Linked DNA regions of Drosophila melanogaster. Changing the gene in region 4 together with the main gene of any one other region gives a genetic interaction. Each region holds a gene or a part of one and is shown on either strand. Other genes may lie near its edges.

Region 1 (4,640 bases), on a different chromosome or scaffold from region 4:
CAATTGGAGTTACCAGGGAAATTGAATTTTTTAAATTTGCATCGGGCAAACAAACAAGATGGAAAGCGGAAACAGCGCTAACAAAAGCAAGAACATAAATCCTGCCCGAGATGCAAAAACAAAAACACGGCAAAATGACAGAGAAAATGGAATTTATTAAATAGCATTCCGCGCAATAAACTCTTGCAGCAAAAAAAAAAAAAAAAACGAGCACAGCAACAAAAATCCACACACACACACACACACACACACACACACACACACGATCGCATAATCAAATAAAACAACTTGGACATGCAATTTTATGGCAGGACGTCGTTTTCCTTTTGGGCACCCTTCTCCTCGATTCCATTTCAGTGGCCCCCAGTTCAACGTAAACAGACGCAAAAACAATGGGGAACGAGTATAAAATGGTATATGTACGAATCGGAATTAAGAATACCCTATCGGATACGCACAGTATCAATCATCTATGGATGTGCGATGAATCGAAATATACAAGGAATAAGGAACATCTTATGGAGATCAAAAAACCGAATGGTTTTAAAATGCTTAAAAGCATGCAACATTTGGAGTTTGAAATCAAATAAGTTCATATATGTTTTATGTTTTTATTTAGAGTATTTCACCATTTTAACGAAGTTATAAGCCCTATTGCTAGGGTATTCAAAAATGGGATTAAGCCGAGAGGAGAATCGCAAAAAGACCGCTCAACATTTTTTCCATTAAGGGCGCCCAAAAAATAAAAAAATAAAAAAAACCGGACAGCTAAGAGGGGCTCAGGGATTTGCGGAGCTGGCCATCAGCGCATTCAGGTTTTTGGGACCTGCTGGACACAAATTAAACCAAGTGAAGCCAAATAAAAAGGTTAAATTAATAACCGTAGTCGCTCTTTAAAGTTCAAGCCAAATGCTATCTGTATGTATGTGTGTGTGTGTGTGTGTGTGTGAGTGCCTGTGCGAAATGCATATTTGAATATTGCATAAATCATCGCTTTTATTTCGATTTTTGTTTTATTCGCCATGCGGTTTGCTTTTGTTTTCTGCAAAAGCGCCTCATTAAATTACCATTTTAATGATTATTTAATTCCATCAGTTGGACAAATATAATAATTGAATATATATTTTATATATTATCTTTGCAGCCCAATAAGTTGTCAATGATAATATCTTAGGATTCTGCAATTACGTTCGATGGCAAACTTCAGCATTTGTATTTAAAATCTCATAAATTATTAAAGACTTTTAAATTTTATCTACATATGATGTAAGGTAGATTCTATTGAGATTTTCCGTATCAAAACCTAATATTTTGAGTAGCATTTTGTAAATGCCGTAAAAAACGTCTTACTTTCGTCATGCCTTCACTTAAAAAGCGTCAATATCAGTATCATTCAGATTTGCTGTACAGCACTTGAAATTCCTCGATTGCTAGGAATTGTGCAATCTTTTATTGCATTTTTTTAGAAATAGTTAGGTCGCGGCGGATATTTGTGATGGAAACCACACGAAACCAAACTGTCTGGTCTGAATTGATTTAAATTAATTGAATTTTAAAGCGAACCGGTAATCGGCAACCGGTTTCAACCGATTCAAGGCGAACCGTCCAATTGAGCAAACGGTATTTGAATGTTTTAACTGATTGATGTCAGTCGATATGGCCTGATTGTTCCGATACTGACCTGTGCTCCGGGTGCTTCGGCCTATTCCAGTTGACTCCGATTAATCCAACTCATGTGCCTGTTTTTGTGGCGGAATTATTGGGCGGAAGAGGGGATTTACGGGAATTAAAGCCGATTTGGGCGGATCGAAGGGACTTAACTTCGGGGCAAACACATTTGGTTTCAGGCACTTGTCTAGACTTTCCTCGGCGTTTCTCGGTGTTTCTTTCGGTTATCACACTCTTTATTCTAAATTTCTTCACTTGCTTTTGAAGCTATTAAGAGCACTAGTGGATTTTCAAATTTTGAATTGAGCATTCACGGTATTCTTCATGGTTTTCTTATAAGTTTCACTTTACCCATGTTAAGCTGGTAAAAATAGGGTTTCGATTTTATGTTTCAGTTGTGGCTGAACAATCTAGAAAGAATTTCAAAATTTTCGGTCACTATTACAGGTTTAAAATAAGAAAATGAATTTCGCGCAAGTTAGATTTTATTTTATTCTTATGTGTTTCAAACTTATAGTTGTGTTTATAAACTTTATCACATCGCTTTTAACAATTTCAAATTTTAATGGGCTAAATTTGATGCTTATCACTCTTAATTTCTGCCAGTGCATTTTGATCGCATTGTAAACATTTTTACAGAAACAAGAACAACAAATTGCGTTTCATTGCCACAGTGGTGGTCTCTGCGCCGTCGTCGGCAGCGACGTCGACGTCGGCTGCGAAAGGCGACACCATTTCACCGGCGACTATTAGCAGCAAGTGCGAGAGAAACGGACGATGGCGATCGCACAATTCCACACAACACACACACACACACATACGCATAGGCTGCAACTGTTGCAGCAGCCAAAACAACAACAAGACGGCTAAAAAGCGAGTGTTTTTTTTCGATTTTTTCGCGCTGCGACCTTGGAACCGTTAGCTTTTCAAGCTGAACTCTTGGACTGTTAAGTTGGCTGCCTTTTTAACACCTTAATAGCGCTTATCCAATTGTTTGCCTTTTGCTTTTGTTGCTTGTTGCTGCCGTCGCTGCTCTGCCGCTGTCGCTGCTGCTGCACTGCCTCTGCCGGCGTCAGCTGCTCGCCTGCGTGTGTGTGCGTGTGTCCGTGTGAGTTTCCGTTTGTTTTGTGTTGGGCCTTTTATTTTGTCGTGTTTTTTGTGCCCACCGTGCAATTGCAATATTTACGGATTATTCGCGGACCGTTGAGCGATATATGTGCGGTTTTTTGCGCGGAGTTGGATCGGCGGAGACGACGGAACAGCGATATATAATTGCAGCAGTTGCAAGAAGAAGAGCCAACCAGCAGTGGCTGCCAGTGTGTGCACACTGCGCAGCAGAATTGCCACCTGGCCGGCGGTGTTGCCACATCGCTGGATTTCGTGCTGCGATTGTCTGGAGTGTAAGAAGAAGAGCAGTGGATCAGCTGTTGCTCACAAGCGGCTCAAATTGAGTTATGTGCTAACGCGTTCGTGGAAGATTTGGGCGCGCAATTCAAAAATGTAACATAACGGGATTTAAAGATTTCAATTTAAATAAACTTTGAATCTATAATAATCTATTGTTCGAATTAAGCGTCGAAGTAAAGTTTTCAAATAGTATACTTTGCGTCACAACTCAACCCAAAATCAGAACATTGTAACAGAAATAATTAGGTCTGAAAATGAACTCAATAGTGATTTTTATTCTGCACTTTTTCTTGGGTAAGCAATTAACATATGTATAAAATAAATTCTACTAATGAATTTTCCCTGCCGGCTTAGGAATCACACTCGGAACAGCTATTCCCAACGAAATAAGTGTGAAAATGGCAGTGCCAAATAATTCTGTTACTATGAAAACCGAAGAGTTCCTGCTGCAAAACGAAAATATTCCCTTTGGTCTTCAGAGTATTCCGCATTACTTAAAACATCTCATTACAAATGTGGACAGGGATATCCCGGGAAAGAGAAAACCGAAGATTACTCAGTACTTCAAGCTGAGTCCAGAAATGGATAATTTGCAGATGATGCGGTTTCTTATCGAGACCTTTGGCAGATTCATTGGACTCATTACATAGGCGTAGTATGTTCTTTTTTGATATATTTTCCAGCTGTGAGAAGAATTCCAACGCGCTCATAAATAAGAAAATGAAAGGAGAAGACGATGAGGTTTTGATGATTTCAAATGAGAGGAACTTGATGAGATTTTTTGGTCAAGAGCATTTATTTCGAATTCAGTTTTGCAACGAGGCCAAAGGAGAAAAGAAATGAAGTATTAAAACTGATAAATGATAGAAGAATTCGTTAAGGAAGAACAAAGAAATATGCCACAGAAAGCTTTCAACTAAAGACGGCAAGAAACGAAGATTTGCTTTCCAAATAATAAACAACAGATAACAAGGTACATTTAAGGTTTTTTCATTGGTTTCTTTTATATGTATATATATATATATATATATTTATATATATATATAGATCTATGTATATATAGTATAACATTGTTAACATTTACTATTGACTATGTAATATCCGCTGCAGAGATACTTTTCGTGTTTCGTGTTCTGTTTCAGTTTCGGTTTATGTTTTTCTGTTTGATTTGCAGGTACTTAGTACTACTTTGCTCCTTGGGTTTGCGATTATTGTACGCTTGTCCTATATATACACACGCTATAACATATAGTTTTTTAATAGGTATCCATGGTTAGATATATGAGAATTTGGGGGGCTTCTTATATAGGTTCCTTTGGGTAGGGTGGAATACTAAAGAGTTTAGGCGTTAATAAATACATCTCGAGTTTTAGTTGGTAAAATTGCTAACATTTAGTAAGTAACTATGTTGTACATTCAAGGGCTACATCGTATAAGGTATCGCTGATCTATAACGATCGTAAATATATCTATGTGTATACAGTATACAGTGTGTATATGAATATGAAACAATCTGCAGTTATAGATTCTAGGCATAGGCTATGCAGTGAAGTCTTAGACGAGTT
Region 2 (7,269 bases), 990 kb from region 4:
GTTGAATAACGCCAATGCTCAAGTCATTATATATGTACTGATCGGAAATTGCTGTTTTTAACCTGTTTTCTATAGGATTCTTAGCTGATGTAATTTGTTCTGGATATTGCACTGGGTCAACTAGATGCAGTTACTTTGTTAATAATATGCATAGTTAATAGTGTTGAGTTCTTTCAGAGTACGTCATGAGTTCTAATGCACTGTCAACTTACTGTGATATTGGTAAACTTTGTGCCTGCTAGATAAGCTGACAAATATATTTCCGAACCTGATAAGGGGACTAAGTTTTGCCAAAACTCGTTACGATAACGTGGATGCGTTCAGGTGTACTTAAATCGATAGCGTGCCGTTCTTTGCGCACCTGTTGAGTTTTTAATATCACGAAATAGCTTGTTGCAAACGATAAGATTGTTTAACGTACAGACATAAAATAACCCTTAAAGCCGTCATTTCTATATGGTTTCCTTTAGTGCGCTTGCACCCAGATGACTAATATTTTAACCGCGACCACCTGAAATCCCAACTCTATATAAAAATACATTCTCTTTATAGTAAGTTTTGTGTATTTCCTGATTCTATGGCACGTACACTTATGAATGTATACATGGGTACAAATATATCAATGTATACAAAACAATGAGATTACAATTGAAGAGGAAACGTCTACAGTTACTTACATAAACTGAAATTTGTTAAATTCTTTATTTAATTTCGTAACTACGGATTTTTAATTACTACTGATTATCTCTGTTGTATGCAATTCGTAAAAGAAGAATTGATCTTATTATAGAGGTACATGTAAAAAAATATACATTTTCATATTCAGTCCTAAGGTAACTAAAGTTGATGGTGAAATTACAACATTTTGGCAAAGCTTCTTTTAAAAACTTGTAAATTGATATAAAAATCCTGTTTGAAACAAGAAACTGAAACTTTTTTAGGTAAATATATAGTTTACATTATTGTCATTTACATAGGTTTTAAGGATGCCGATTATTGTCTTTTTATACACTCGTACATAGATGGCGTTGACTTTTTGTACTGACTAAAATGTTTCTGTAGGTAGAGATTAAATTATGATCACATCGCTAGTATTTATTCATAACAATGTCAATATCAAATACAAATTGTATGCAGGCATACTTAAAAATTTTTTTTTTAAACTCATGAAGTCTGTATATCTAACAAAGCCTTGAAAACTTTTAAAGCTATTAGGCCACTTCTGGCAAAGAATCAAAGCATGTGGATAGGAATGCTGTATGCAGATTAATCTAAGCTTAAGCACAAATATTTAAAAAAATAGCAGAAATCAGTCGCATTTAAAGTCTAAAAAAGTAAGTTATCCACGAAACTGGACAGATTACTCGTCTTTCTTTCGTTTCACTTTTCCCTCCGTTTGGATGGTTGATGTTACAGCTTCTAAGCACGTGGCAATGGACGGTACGGATTGATCGGCGCTGTAATCCTCGCCAGCCATTCTACTTAAGGTTAGTATATAGGAACACGCTACCCGAAGAACGGAGAGTTTGGAAAGTTTTTGAGTGCTGGCATAGGCTGGAACAGCTTGGCGGAGCGTTTCGTAGGCGGCGGATATGGTGTGTACACGGGTCCGTTCACGTGCGTTCGCCTCAATGCGGCGCTCCCTAGTCATATTCTTGTAATTGCGTTGATGTTGATGAGGTCGCGAAATTGGTGCCAATCCCGTCTTGTTCAGATCCTCATCGCTAAGACTAGCTTCTAAAAAGGAAGATGACGTTGATTCTTTTTGCGTCCTTTCCTTCAACGTTTTTTTGGCGGATGGCTGTTTTCCAATTAGCAATGCGGAAAAGGCCTCTATTTTAGGCCCCGCTTGGTCGACACATTGCTTTTTGGTCGTTACTAATGCGAGTGGTTCCAGCTGTTCTGGGTGGGCAGCAAGCGATCTGTGAAGAGTCGTAACTCCCGGATGGCGAACATATATATGTGCCGGATTAGGCATTATTTCATGCTGCAGGCGCAACGTGGAAGGTATGCAACTGTTGGGCGGTGGAGAGTCTATGGCTGGTGGCGTTAGGACAACTGCCGAATCGGCGGAAGATGTGTATCGTATGCGTTTCTTTAGCGGACCAGTTGCATTCATACTCGCACTGGACGGAGGACCAGGCATGGATTTAGAGTTGGGAGTCGTCAAACCTACGACTTTGAAGGGTTCCGAACTCTTGCGTTTGTTGCGGACAAGGGCTATTGGCTTGGAGTCCGCCGAGTCTGTTCCTTTTGGTCTGATGTCGGGACTGCCACTGCGCGCGTGCTCGACGACCAAGTCGTCTCCGCCTTCGCTTTCCGAACTGGCGGAACAAAAACCCGCATCACGGTCGTTGGAATTGGGTGAATCTAAAAATACCAAAAAATTTAAGAGTTAGTTATCTTCTATCTGTGACGTATTACGCCGAACCGGTTACTAATGTTTGGCATTTCGTATTCGTAAATTTAAAAAAACCCCCGTTTTCGCGGAACAGGCCAGCAAGCCGAATAGGGCTGCGACTGCCTTTGTGTGACACCCCTTCGACTTTTCAAAATTCAATAAATCCCAAATCTTTAGTTACTATTTTTTATTACCATCTGATCGAAACTAATTGGATGACGTAGTTTTGACGTATTTTCTTATCTATAATATGTTCTTCCACCCTATGAAATCTATTTAATACATTCAAATCGGAGGTTACATGAGAAGAAAGTCCATTATATAAAGTGAAATTATGCATTGATCACGAAAACAAAACAGGTTTCTTAATTTACCACTGACCTCCACAAGTATTGAAGTGCCGAAACGCAGCTTACTTGTTAAAAGTAATTTATTTCAAGTCTGGCGAATAAAGCCAGTTCAAGTTCAGCATGAAGCAGCCACTGCATCAGAAGCCAACAACCCGGTTAGCAATTTAAAAAAAAATCACAATGCATATAAACGAGCATACATACATGGATCGAATTTGTTTGCGATTTCAACTTTGGTTGTGCCAGCAAAGTATAAAGGTATAGAATCTGCTAGGATATTTATAAGTATTCCGGTATTTAAGCAAAAAAAAACTTTGTCTTCAACAGCTAATTTTTTTTGTAATCAATTATTGTGTTATCAGCCTATCCATTATATATATGTATATGTTTGTCAGCAATCATACATACAATAATTACTTGTTATTAATTTTAAATTAATTACTTAAGCTAAGTTGGCTAAGAATGAGTAAATTTATTCCCTGTTTGTTTGAACCGGTGCGGACACACATTTACGGAAGGTAAGCTTTTTGCATGTTTATTCAACTATTTATAAGCACAATATTCTGCTATCTTTTCTAATTTTAGGCAGATAAACAACGAAACGAAATTCAAAGCAACTGACTGACATTGCGGCCACGAAATCAGGCTGTACAAATAACATCAGTTTTATAGCCCTAACTCTATCCCATGTCTTGCGTGGTTTATATACCGCATTTTAATTTATATTTAGACAAATGTTTACTTTTAAGCCACCGTCCTCGCAGGCGTCGTCTAGTTTAAAACACCTGTGCCAAACGGAAACATTTTTAAAGCTTGCCAAGTTTTTAAAAAATAAATTTCTACCAATTTATATTTAAGTTGTCCGTATCAGACACTTAAAGTTACATCTAACGACCAAAGGGCAATACCTGCACATTTTATTTTATTTTTAGTATACACGGAAGAAGGTATTATTCTCGATTGTTTATATTAAGAATATTTTAAGATGTTTTTTGTACGCCCAAATTAGTTTATTTTTTATGGATCTGATCCGTCTTTAGGTGCCAAGTACAAAATAGCAAGTTTTGCTCAGAAATTGACAACGGTTTTCCCGTTATTGGCCTTTTTTTCTAAGAATGAATGCCCTCCTGCGAAAATCAGCTAAAACCTACTTAAAAACGGCAGACATTAACTGTCAGAGGCATAAGAAAATCCCATATTCACGCCAAAAGTCAACGAAAGGTTATCATCATAGGCGGCTTTTGGCTGGCGGTCGGTCCACTGGGAAGCGTTCCCTGTGTGGGAAGCCTCGTCTTATCATAACAAGTGCATATACTCATACGTACATAAATGTAAATATGTTATAGCGACTATATGAAATATATTGTAGTAAAATGACGCATCACTTTTATGAATGAATCGTAAGAACACATCCAGATCATGCAGTACTTTGACACACTTGGTAAGGACATTTTTACGTTGGTTATAAAACGAACCCAATATCATTCGGCTTTCCTGTTACTACATTGCGTTATGTAGTAAAATAATATAAGTGGAATTTTTATAAACTCATAGTGATCAATTTAAATTAAAGACACCTTATTCTATCCAAACCAATGGCCATCTAGACTAATCATTTCGAAACGTTGCTGATTAAGACTAGCATTTTAAATAAATGATCACAGAAACAAAAAATAAAATCGATTTTATGAAATGCTGACGTAAACAGTACCAACAATATGGAAGGAGTTAACGTCTGTCCTCGAACATTATAACAATCAGCAGGCGGTGGTGAAAAGGGACACACAATGCAGAGTCCAACTGTCGCTCCAGCTTCACAAACAGACAAATTGCCAATATGTCTGGCGACATCGTCGTCCCAAATTCGCCATTGCGGGCAAAGTGCTTGGCCGACATATGCAACACAAGACGAAAGTTGGAGTACGCTGGCGACACATAGTTGGCTTTATTTACGTATCTGTCTGCATCTTAATTGCCATCCTCACAAGTCTGCTGCTAATATGATTCTGCTGCAACGTGTTAGTTGGTGGGGCTTTCTGGGTGCACACGGCAGCACCCCCTATTAACAATGTTGGTCGTCAATTATCTTCAGTGTCTATTGCATAGCCTTGGGCCATAGCCTCCTTGCCTTAATGATTGTATTCGTTCTTTTTGGGTTTCGATTACAAAAATGAATATACAGCTATTTGACAAATTATTGTCGACAAATATTTTGCGGGAAATGATTATAATCATCCGACTGCAAGACATAAAAAACCTATGTATGTAGGTGTGTATATTTATGTAAGTATTTGCAGGTGCCGCACAATTCGCAGGCAACAGGTGCAGTGTCCTTTGCTCGTGCAAAAGGTAAATACCCACCTTTCATAATAATTGCTGATAATTCCGATGCGCTTAGTTGCATGTAAAGTTTTTCTGTGTTGGTATTCGCCATAGCCGCGAAGGACATTCAAGAACTTTAAAAGTAGCGCGTATCCGAAAACGGTATTTGAATAGTTTTGTGGGCTTATATTTTATTTATTCACAATTACGGGCTTTATGTTAACATAAACCTATTGAAATGTCACGTATTGTTTAAAGGCACTTTTTTAATTTGTGGTTTGGTTAAGCCGTATGTGAGCTTTGGCACTATCTTCAACTTATTAGAACTTTTTATTTTCACGATTTCTCGTAAAATCTTCTGACCGGAGCACGACTGTTCACAACGAAAGTATCTGACGGATTGAAAATATCTTGCGGATTGAAATGGCCTGCGCCAGGGACCGGCTGGCTTCATGCTAAAAGCAGCACGCGGTCGAACTGCGTTTGGTTATCAGTGTTGACCATTCAGTTTTTTTAGAGTCCGTTGTCCTAATGTGTGTATGGCTTGAAAAAAATTGCGCCCTTAGCCAGAAAATATATTTCTTCCATAAGTAAATTATATGCTTAATAAGAAATAAAGTATTTATCTTTACAAGAAATATATAAATACTTTAAAGCAAAATTTTGAACAGCTAAGTTTGCTAGGCCTCTGAACTTATTGGCACCAGAAATATTAGGCAGAAAGACCTGCCAGCACTGTGGTACGAACCGCTGGATCGGTTCGCTGTCGAACATGTTTGACTACCACATTATTAGTTTTATGAATGAAAATATTCGCTCGCTTGAGATTTGCGACTAGAAAAAATTTGTATTCAACTTATTGATTGCAAGTATTACTTTTCTGCGGCCTTACTTATGTTTCAATGACAAAATGTCTTTTGACTTTTTGTAAACTTATCGGGATGAATATACATTCAATATTTTGGACAGAAAAAGATCTTAAATGCCATTGAATTAGGTAAGATTAATTAATTTCGGCTGCTCTCCATTTTGCAAAGTTTGACTTATAAGGCTGTTAAAGCCTCTATCATAATCAGGACTTTATTAAAACAGTTTATTCTTCTTGCAACATTGCTGCTGGACACAACGCATATACCAGCGTCAATTTCATTTGTGCATACGTGATAAAATATGTATTAGTATGTATTTCATCTGCGGATGGCACTGGCGAAGAAAGTAAAAGCAACGGTCTTAATAATGTCAACATTTAATTTTAGTATTGCACAAGCTGTTCGATTTTTAGGCATAGAATGGTCAGTTTCTTAGATAGTTTACAAATATTTTATTTGATACGTATGTATTTTTTTAAACAGAACTCGTCATAATTTTGTAAGTTGGATTATCATGGCTTCTTTTATATTTATGTATGTATATATGTATATGCTTGTATTTGGAAATTTATTTAAGTCAGGATGAATACCTCCTTACGTTTTGGATAAAAAAAAGATCAGTTCTAGGAAAAAGTTTAAATTTGCTGATCATTCTTTCGAACGCCGCACAACAAAAAACTTGCCGCTGGAATGAATGCAAGAGCCAGTTCCCTAATATCATTAGGGTTCTTTTCGTCTTTTTGTCTGATATCCTTAGCAGATGTACACTGGGCACGAGTTTGAGTCTGTCGCGCGAAATGCTTTTTGAATGATGACTTTCGTTTTTTTAGAGACTTGTTCTGCTTTTAAAGTATGCGATTGGGCTGCGGCCTAACCTGTTTTCTTCGATTGGACAGACCCCAGACTTCACAATCTCCAGTGTAGCAACCTGAGCAGTCCTCCGCTACCGCCGTTTAGGTCGCGATCAAGCCTTTGTCAAGCTGGAAGTTCAAGGATAAGAATGCTGGACTTCCAAAAATGGTTCGTGTACGTGTCGGCGAAATTTGATCTGTTCCTTTAAAAGTAAACCATTTTTTCCGTACGCCCCAGCTAGAATTACTTCGGAATCATTTGCAAAGATTTTTTTTAAAATTAGGTAAAGTTGCGGTTACTGATTTGGCTTCTGTATGAGGACGGGCTCTAAGTACATGAAGTCAGTTTGGCTTCTACATATGTAGATATGTGCTTTTCACCAAAGATCAAGTCAGAAGAAGTATTTTGCGGACAACATGGTGTTGACGAACATGCACAAATCGAGTTACACTGATTTGGCTTCTGAAAAAGAACT
Region 3 (4,956 bases), on a different chromosome or scaffold from region 4:
TTTACTACAATTTTGCCTGAATGAACAATTAAAAGGTGATTTTTTGCCAGCGAGTGTAGCGTTTTGAACTATAAAGACGTCAACAACAATTGCCAGTTGTTCGAGTTTCCTACCCCCAACGATTTTTTTAACGGTTTCGATTCGAATGCACGTGCAGGCTTTTCTCTAGCATTTATTTGCATACATGCCGCAGCTGTGCTTATTTTTATGGTCATAAAGAAAACAGCGAAACAGTAAGCCAGAGCAAATAACTCGAACAATTTCTGCGAAAAGGGCATTGTGACAGCAGCGATCGTCTGTGCGAAAAAAAAGGGTAATATCGCTTTTTAAGGTTCTGGCATCTTTATCGGTTTCATAACTCGCTTATCTAGCCATACATACATACATACATACCACATCCACATATCCGGCTATGCGGTGGTGGTCTCCCGTCTCCCATTAGCATAGACTGCGTAGCCAAAGTTTTCGTTTTCCTATCAATATTTGCACAGTTGCTGGCGCACAATGCGCACATTCAGTTATTAATTTGCAGCTACAAGATCACTGAGTACTTGGTATCGACGGCCCGCTTTTATTCGCCTCCCATTTAATTTTTACTTTTCTGTTTGCCCGCCGAATACAAACATTTGCCTCAAAGTACTGTGCAAACAGACACCGCCAGATACGCCATGGAGTTCATTAAATTGTGGCCAAATGGTTACCCAAACATACAGCCAGCCAGCCAAGCAGCCAAAACTTCCAATATGCGAATACCAAATTTTGTGTATTAATTTATTTTCCAACGGGTAAGAAACAAAGAGCCCACAAAGAAAACCTCGAGAACTGCAGAGTCAACAAATTGAGTCGCCATTTTAGCTGGAAATTGTGTCGCTAGTTGCAGTTGCCCTATTGCTCTTACTGTTGCTTTTGCTGTTGCAATTGCAATTGCTGCTGATGCACAGAAAAGGGCACGCAGACGGCGGGAAAAGTGGCAGAGTGGAAAAATCGGGCGGTCTTAACACTAACTAACTACTACGCTTTACCTTGTACATTTGACATTACGAAATGCACAGCACAGTGCTCAGTGCTTGGCTAATCAGTGCGTTCTGGTATTCTGGTATGTTTGCCGTGATATCTGATGGCTAGGTGTGGGGGTAACTCGAAACAGGGGCGATAGTGCACACAAGACTCTTTGACTAAGCCAGCGCCAAGTCAAGAGGTGAGCCACAGGGCAGGTGAGACCGTCGCGAAGGGCAGGTATTAAATGGAGGGAGCATTCACTCTGGACTAGGGGATACCCTGGCGTATACGTGATATTGGGAAATATCATTCAAAGTCCATATTCCAGACACATAAATGTTAAGTAAGCTTATATTACTTAAAATACTACGAATTCACACACTATTGCAAGTGTTTTTTAATCTATGAGCTTAGTAAAATATTTGTAATATTGCACACTTTGCAGCTACCCCTCGATAATTGATATTCCCAGGGTAACGATAAGACCAAATAATACGAAATGCAGCCGAAAACGAAGCTATATTTAAAGTGCAGTACAGGGGAAAAATAAAAAAAAAACATCACAGCGATAAGATAAACGACAGCATATCGCTGGCACGAAACTACAATAAAAAAAAAAACACCTGAAAACGGTGGAAACTCTAGAGACCAACTGATACGGTGGCCAAATTCGGGACGACTTGGCTCTTTTGATATATGGGCAGCCAGTCAGTCAGCCAGATGATCTACATAAACACATTTTGATAGATGATGGGCGGCTTGAGGAAGATGGATAGATCCTTGCGGTGCACTTACTTTTCCCCTTGACGAACTCGTTCTTGTTCTTATCCTCCAGACTGGTGGGAATGGTGACTCCGTTGGCTCCCAGTCCCAGGGCGAAGTTGGCCCCGCCCCTCTGTCGATTTTGGGCCGAACTGCTGCGGTATAGGAATCGATCTCGATCCCGATCGCGATCTATATCCTGATGGCGCTGGCGATTGTTCTGGCGGGCGTAGCGATCGCGGGCCGCCGACGCGGGCCAAATGCAAATGCAGTGGGCCAGGAGCAGGAGCAGCAGGGGGAAGGGGCAGGGGCCGTTGCGCCGTCGCAGCAGCATTGTTGCGGGGCGGTGGGTGGTTTGGTGGTTGGTGCTTTTTGTGGGCGTTACTGGTGGGATGAATCAAGCCCTCTTCCAAGCTATAACCCCTGACGTCATAGGGGTTATTTTTTATTCGTTTCTTTTTCTTGAACTTGCGGTTTACTTTCGGCTTTTTGCTCACTCAGCTTTGCGTGCCAAAAATACAGCTTTTCATAAATTTGATTTCGACTCTTTCACTGCGTTTGCTGCGGTTGCTGTTGTTGTTGTTGTTGTTTTGAATTTAAGCTGTTGTCGTTGCAATTTGCCACTGTATTGGTGTTTACATTTCACTGTGTATGCGCGTGAGAGTGAGTGTGTGTTTTCGAGTGGGTCTTTTGAACGCGCCAGTGAGTGAGTGTGTGCGTGAGTGTAGGAACCAGTTTCACATTACGAGCCACAAGAGTCGTCCGAAGGCTTTCATATATATATATATATATATATGAGTGTATGTAAAAAATAAAATTTTTGTTATTTTTCAGATGTATTTTTCAGCTTCTTTTTTGAGTTCGCCAACGATTTTTGAGGTTAGAGAGGCGTGCGCAGGCGCAGCTCTTAGCTTTCAGCTTTAATTGATTGCCCTAAGCAATTGTTGTGTTGCCCCCGCAGCGGTTAACTTGCACAAAACACACACACTTGGCCATCATTCGAACTGAGCCACAACCGCCACAGCCGCGGCTGCCAATTAGCAGGGTATTCACAAAAATACGCTTAGTAGTATAGTATAGGCCAAAGGCACTTGGCTTACACCCCGTTTTTGGCTTTGGTTTTGGTCGTTTTGCGAACTGTGATTTCTCGGTACTTCGATTAGCACGATCTTCGAATTAGCAAACGCTGCGATCGAGAGCACAGATATGGCCGAGGATTCGAGCTCAAGACGTCCGTACTGAGCGATTCGCGTCCGCGCAGCAACAAGTTGTATTCGAGACTGAGGCCAAAGCCGCAGCCAAAAGGCGCTGCTCCCTCTCTGTCTCTCTCTCTCACTCTCTCGCCGTGTTTCTTACTCTCGATTGCGGCGAAAAGAGCGCGCACAGGTAAAAATAAAGGTGAACGGCGAAATCTCGAGCTCAGATCAGGTCAAAATAAAAGCAAAGCCAGCGATACAGCAACAACTACGGCACAGCTGCGCACCGCTGTCGCCACCTCTCGCTCGCTCAGTGCAGCGTTCCCACTCGCACCGCCAGCGGACCATCTCCATCCACAATCCACAGGTAATCGTAAACGTAGCAGCAGCATTTTAAAAAGTCAGCGTAATACGAAACGATACGGCCAGATACATTGGGCAATCTTCCCCCAGACCAGCAAATGCTCTACATATCATGGGAAAATGCTAAACGTTGGCCCTAATGCACAGAATCGAATTTAGCGCCATCTCAAATGAACGGAAACACCAACTAGAGATCTTAAGTTCGCAGAACATAACTTCAACTAACAATCTTAACATAGAGTACATGGCTCAGAGCGGTTAAGTATCCCAAGCTTGAAGAGTGGATACCAAAGAAGGACAATCTTTTTGCACAAAATATGTTGCTCGATATACAGGGCGTGTATAAATAATATACACACGGGATTTATGTTAAAAAAGTTAAGAAGCATTTATACGCAACAACCTCAGTTTTAAGATAGCAAAGTTTAGGTAGGATTAAGAAGGCGCCATAAATAGCCTTTTCAACTGCAGAGACGAGTTTTCCAACAAAGGAAAGTACTTGAGCAACAATGTCCTGATTTTCCCCTCCCCCCAAAATGCCCAATAGCAAAGACAAGAGCAAAAAAACCAATGCGGGGATTATCCGACAGCATCTTAACTCCGACAGCTGTGCAGGGCATTTAAGATTCGCATCGATTGCAGGTCGTTCCCAGGTAAGATCTTGTGTATATCCCAATTTCTTGACACTGCTGCTGTTGTTGTTGTTGTTGTTGGAGGTTCTGTTGTTGCGGCGAATTTGAGAGCGTTCAGGTAAAGCGATCGCCGCTCTCTCACCTGGCTGTATATACATGGGTATGTGTGGGCAATGCTGCCATATAAGCACAAAAGATCTCGGCAATTGTATCTGTATCTGTGTGTGTTTGTGTGTGTAACTGTGCCCGCATCTGCATCTGTGTCTGTGAGCCGAGCCTGCGTGGGCCATGGATTGTCTTTTGGCAAAAAGATTTTTGTACGAGCGTTGTCAACATTGTTAGGGCAGATCCAAGACCGAGATCTCGTTGGCCTCTTCTTCACCTGTTCCCAGCCCACAAGAAATCGGGGTTTTTACGCCTGCGCCATGTGCTCTGCGGGATCGGGCCAAAAGGACACTGTTTCGGCAGGTAAATCCGAAGCGTTTTGACCTTTTTCACTTTGCCATAACAGAAATACAAAAGGTGCACTTGGAAAAGCGCAACTAACTCCTCGGTCCACATTTGAATCTCGAATCCCACGCTGTGACTCTCGAGAGGCGTTGCATTGTCTTGCTCGGCGCTTTGTTTCAGAGCATGAAAATACATTTAAATTGAAAAGCATTTCCACAGATTTCCACGATGGGGTAAAAGCGCCATGCTCCGGTCTGCAGCCATAATCAAACATATTAATAGCCGTCTGTCCCAAGCCAGAAGACCTCAATCAAAAGGTACACTGCCCAAACCGTACGGAATCATCTGTCAAAATCGAAGAGCATGCAACTGACAGCCGAACATCGAGTTGAGAACGATCTTAGAACTCAGAACTCTGAAACCACTTCAGGGCACTCCACCAACTCCGCCAGTACGAACCACAGGTAAACGCCGCTCGAGAGGTGTAAGATGCCGAGATTCTGAGATTCCAAGATGCCCCGACCCACACTCATAAACATTTGATCAAGCGTACA
Region 4 (5,304 bases):
GTCTGGGCCCAAGTACGCCTCGAAGACGCTCTCCATGATCCGCGCTAGCTGGTCGCTGAGTCCAACCAGCATCTACTGCCCGGTGCGCTGGCAGAAGGAGAAGGGGGTGGACACCAGGGCCTCCGCTGCTCGTCTATACGATAATTGCCTTCGAATGACGTTCTGTTTTTCGGGTGGGCCTTTGTTTTGGCCTGTGTTTTCGCTGGCAGCAACGGCAATGCTCCTGCTTCTGGCCCGAGGTCACAGGGGTTTCATTTGTTGTTGGCAGTGACGGGCGCTGATTACAAACTATGCGATAACCAGCATTTGATCAGTCTGCGGCTGGTTTAGTTTGATTTATTTTTCTTTTTTGTTGATTACAACGCAGTGACGTAGCTGTTAGTATGACCGCAACTGATAAGGTATTTTACTTTGCCAAAATACCGAACCTTGCACTTAACATGACCATAACATAGGAAATAACAGTATTTTTCCAAACTGTTAATGAAATGCATTCAAAAATGAAGTTTTTTAAAAAATATTTAATTTTTTTCTTATTTTACGCAAAGTATAGATTTGTAACAATGTAAAAACTTCAAAATTGCACGTGCGGGACTTCAAACTAGCTACGCTACCTTGAGTGCGCAGAATTTGTTGTTCAGATCGAAGAAGTCGTTTTCTGGATCGGCATCCTCGACCATTTCCGCATTGGGATCCGCGATGGCCTCCCTTAGCTCCACTTTCCTAGCCGCCTGACGCTGCTTCTTCAATCGCTTCTTCTGCAGGGCCTTTGCCGCCGTCGGATCCACCTCCAATCGCTTCCAAGTTGGTATAAACTCCGCGCACCAGTCGTACAAGTAGCAATAGAAATCGAACATCAACTTGGAGTCGGGCAGCAGGAAGTTCTCAACATGGTAGCGGACATCGGCACGATTCCTCAGTACATCATACATGTTGTAGAGAAAGGCGCCGCAATAAAGCTGGTTCATCCTCGGACTCAAAAGTGGAAAATCCAAAAGAGAATTTAGCCCATTGAGTTGGTAAACCACAGCCTGAAATTCAGCAAATGCGTGGATAACCGTGGTGGAGTACAAGTCAAACTTCTTTTTGAAGATCTCCTGCATATGGAAGTGCGGCAGTAGGCGTTCCTGAGTTAAATAGCAGTCCGATTTGGGTACATGAGCCATCCGATCTGGAACAGAAAGCTCTAGCAGAGCAGGTTTGATGCCGCGCTTAATTCCCTCGGCAGCTTCCTTATCCCTCACTGCTCGCTCTGCTTTCAATGTCTTGCCAAATCTTTTAAGGAAGGTTTTCACCTCTCGTTCAGCAGGGATTGTAACATCTATGGTTCGTAGGACAACCAAACTAAGGATCAGCGAGTGAAGATGCAGCAAATCACAGTGCTCCGAGCGATGTAACCAGTAGATAATGGCCAGAAAGTACAGCCTCAGGTCCTCCGGCAACTGGTCGAGCTTGCTGAACAACTTCTCCGTATCCGCATTGGGAGCATTGTCTTCGAATACAGCTCTTAAATGCCTAGCATCCGGCGAAAGAGGATCAAACGGATAGGCAGGCTTCTTTTCAATGGGCATCTTGAAATACCTCACGTTCGTCACTCGCAGAGCTCTGGTGAGGTAGGTGAGATAGGGGACTGTCGAACCCTCTATATCCATATCCACTTCTAATGGTAGCTCAATTTTCTCACACTCTACGTGATGGAGAAGAGCGAACACGTAGTTCAGGATGGGTAAGGCCACTTCATTGGAGTCGTGGAAGGGAAAGTGCTCGATCTGTGGGTTGTTGATGTACTTGCGCAGGTGCATAAGGTCCACGAAGCTGCGGGGCAGGTGCGCGGGATATAGTTTGTCCAGAAACCATTGTGGGAAGAGTAGCGTTTTGTCTTCCACTTCCAGCTCGAGGCCTTCATCCGCCTCCTCTTCTTCTTCATCACCCGAATCAACGTCTTGATTTTCTTCCTGCTGCTCCTCATCTTGGTTATCAGCTTCCTCCTGATCCTCGCCTTCTTCGACATCTGAAAATTTTTCATCGGAGCTAGACGAATGTTCATCGTCGCTGCATTCCTCTTCACTGACGGGTTCTATATAAGGAAAAGCATTCTCGTAGTGCTCATCGAAGTAATCGTAGGCGTGGCACAACTCGTTGGAGTAACCAGAGATGGCTGCATTCACTTGGGAGACCAGGGAATCACGCTGGTTCTGCAAGAATATTATTTTTAGCATAAATCGGAAAAAGATATCTCAAGCAACGAACCTTTTTCAGTCTCGACAGCACTTTAGCCAGAGCAGATTCCGCCGTTTCCTCCTTCAGCCATGTGAGGATGACCTGTATGCGCTTCTGCTGGAGCTTTAGTTTGCGACTTCGTCCTGCTTTGCCCATTCCCGCAGCAAAAAAGTTCTTGAAGGCACTGCGGGCAATATAGTCATTGCCCAGGAGGGCGGCAAAAAGGGGTAGCTTCTCGGGACTCAGAGTTCCTCGTCCGCAGAGATGGGACACCCGGTAGATGCAGCAGTCGAGGTACTTGTAGGTCTTGGAACTGCCTTTTGTACTGGCTGTCAGCCCTGTGGTTTGAATGCCAGTCACAATCTTGTTGGCCCTGGTGCGCTTCTTCACATTCTTGGCCTCGCAGTGACGTAGATCTCGACTGTCCTTCTGGTTGCTGCTGTTCTTGTCCTTCACCTGCTTGGTGAGAACCTGGGGTACATGGAATCGCTTAGTATATGCTGGAATCCAAATAACTTATGCCTTACCTTAACAGTCAGCGTGATCAGCGGGATGTACTTGACGTTGTGGATGTAGAAATCCGAGTCGTAGGAGAGCACTGGGCAGTTAAGTTTCCTGGCCAGAGCAGCCAACTCGTCGTCCGCCTCAAAGACGCACCTCATCACCGGGACTCCGCAGTCGCGCACAGCGTCCACGAAAACCTCCTTGAGGTGCAGCGGGAACAGCGTGATGGATGCATTGGGGTTTATCTTCTTGATCACGGAAATCTTGTTGCGCAGCCGGGTGCTAACGGTCCTCAGCTTGCGCTCCTCGTACCCGCCGTCCATGAGCACATAGGGCCGAATGTTGCACTCGGCCAGAACCTGGAAGAACTGCACCACGGCGCGGTAGAAGTCGTCGTAGTCGCCGCCGAAGGCGGAGTAGCTCCCGGTGACATCCTTGTACAGATTGCAGCTCAAGTTGTCGCCATCGATGACCAGCGCCGTGGAGTGCAGCTCGTGCGGCTTAAGGTAGATCTCCGCGCGCTGCGCTATGTAACTGGTCAGGCCGCGGACTCCCATTTTCCCGGCGCTTGCCTATTTTCCCAATTTTCTATTTACCTATTTTGCACAAACTTTAAAAGCGTGCTAATAGTGATGTCAGTTTGCAGTGCGATACTATCGATGTACATATCGATTCTTTAGCGTGGCCGTTCGCTGCCGTTTGGTATATATGAGCGATTAGTTTGGTATCTAGGGTATTTCCCGCAGCCGGATGGTATATTCCGGGGATGGCGCCGCGGTCACACTCTGTCCCGACAATTCCAACCCGACGCTTGTCTGCTCTCCACCCGCGCATCAAACGTCGAAAAATCGTAACGTCGCGAGTGCTACGCGGTGGCCAGGAGAAAAATTCGCCAGCAATAGCAACACTTGTACCGAAAATCTAAAGGAAACTGGGAAATGTACTAGCACAAACACAGCGAGTGCAGTGGAAACCGAAATCGCCATTGAATCGAAGAGCGCGTGCATATATACGGGTTCCGTTGGTTCCGTTCCGTTTCTTGTCGCTTTTCTTGCACACACTTTACCACTTTACCTTTGCGTCTCTCGTTTCGTGCGTGCGTGTGTGTGTGCGCGGAGTGTGGTGTGCGTGCGTGTGTGTTGTTTTTGTGTGTTCGTTTAACTAAAGCACAGGTAGAAGGAAAAGCAGCGGAAAAAAGAAAACCATGGGCGAAATATGCATATGAAATTAAGTAAATACAAGGCGACAGCAGCAGAAAACATCCAGTAGCAACGAGAAACAACAACAACAATAACACACGTTAATAACTCAGCTTTGTGCGTCTTTCGTCTGCGCTTCACATAGTATTATTTTTCTCTTGGATTTTCCACACAAAAACACCATGAGTGAGCGAGCGAGAGCGACGATCGTGATCACCGTGTCGTGAATGAATTTTTGTCAGTGTGTGCGAGGCGTGCTCTACGCACACACACACGTACGTAAACAACACAACCACACACGGCCCATCATCGATCACCAATCACCTGTGTGTGTGTGTGCGGCATTTAATAAATAATTGTGTGCAAATAAATGTTCCAAAAGGAAATTGTTAAGCCAAACCAGCAAAAAACGTAAATCAACCGTGCGATAATTCGTCCTAGAGTTGAAAAAAAAAGACGGTTCAAAAGCAAGTGCGTGTGTGCAGAGTTCTTCTGGTGTCTTGGGAGCTTCGTTTTACGGATACGAAACATATATAACTTCCCTCTTTGCCGAAAAAGGTGAGTTCAAAATCAGGGAAAAATCCCTTTCCCATTGGCCAAGGCCGTTCCGGGAAATCTGCGAGTGGTCTTGGCCCACGTTTCCTGTCTTCCGCACATTTTCACACGTCCTGCAATTGCAATTTTTTCCGATTTCCCAACTCTGCACCTCCTGTATGTTCGGCGATTCCCACGCCTCTTTTTTTCGGGGCAGGTATTCGCAGGTAGCGGAAAGAGGAAAAACCCTCGGGAAAGCCGATAAACTAGAGAAAACCTCTGTTGGTGGGCCGAAAAAACCAGAAAAAATAGAAGAATTGAAATGTTTTCCCTGGCTGCTGAAACAGAGAAAATCGGGCGAAATTAGGCACCCGCTGATTCCAGAAAATTGCTCGTATAATAGAAACATCTCACTGGGGGAGAAATAAATTATCGTTATTATCATCTGCAGTTGCAATTTGGCACAATTTCGATATGACTGTGCTCCCATTTGCCCGGCGATTATGTAATTTTCGCCGCTGTGCTCGAGAATCAGGTTCATTTTCCATATGAAAAAGGGGGCTTTGCTGCAGACATTGCATATATGCCGACGATCTGGCGACCACCGACAGTTGCCAGCAATTTCCGGCGCTTTTTGGCAACTGGAAATCGAGCACAAAAGTTCATCCCAGGGCTTAGAGAGCCGCAAAAGGCGTAGCCATCCATATTCACCCCATCCCAAACGCATTTCCCAATGTGGTTTATAGTTTTCCTACAGCTGTTGCGACTGCGATTTTAACGATTTTTACTGGTAATCCGGGGAGGAAGTGAAGTTCATAGCGGTTCGACCAGTTGATACCTCTTAATA

The links.
Region 1: of ast (region 4) and px, changing one suppresses a phenotype caused by changing the other (phenotypic suppression), as found in Drosophila melanogaster (one study listed by BioGRID).
Region 2: of ast (region 4) and net, changing one suppresses a phenotype caused by changing the other (phenotypic suppression), as found in Drosophila melanogaster (one study listed by BioGRID).
Region 3: of ast (region 4) and Egfr, changing one enhances a phenotype caused by changing the other (phenotypic enhancement), as found in Drosophila melanogaster (2 studies listed by BioGRID).

Annotation. Positions count from the first base shown.
Region 1 is NT_033778.4:22,559,065-22,563,704, forward strand, and holds the start of px (plexus), read right to left. Parts: upstream 3,002-4,640; 5' UTR 2,855-3,001; exon of another isoform or gene 2,835-2,854; intron 2,079-2,834; 5' UTR 1,682-2,078; intron 1-1,681. Other genes in the region: CG11362 (uncharacterized protein), read left to right, coding at 3,330-3,369, 3,430-3,725.
Region 2 is NT_033779.5:81,908-89,176, forward strand, and holds net (net), read right to left. Parts: upstream 5,481-7,269; 5' UTR 5,186-5,480; coding exon 5,113-5,185; intron 2,371-5,112; coding exon 1,361-2,370; 3' UTR 514-1,360; downstream 1-513.
Region 3 is NT_033778.4:21,544,730-21,549,685, reverse strand, and holds the start of Egfr (epidermal growth factor receptor), read right to left. Parts: upstream 3,044-4,956; 5' UTR 2,096-3,043; coding exon 1,795-2,095; intron 1-1,794. UniProt on the Drosophila melanogaster protein: Receptor tyrosine kinase, binding ligands of the EGF family and activating several signaling cascades to convert extracellular cues into appropriate cellular responses. Known ligands include spitz, gurken, vein and giant-lens.
Region 4 is NT_033779.5:1,076,012-1,081,315, reverse strand, and holds ast (asteroid), read right to left. Parts: upstream 3,369-5,304; 5' UTR 3,282-3,368; coding exon 2,748-3,281; intron 2,692-2,747; coding exon 2,251-2,691; intron 2,196-2,250; coding exon 606-2,195; 3' UTR 513-605; downstream 1-512. Other genes in the region: Atg4a (Autophagy-related 4a), read right to left, coding at 1-72. UniProt on the Drosophila melanogaster protein: May function in EGF receptor signaling. May play a role in compound eye morphogenesis.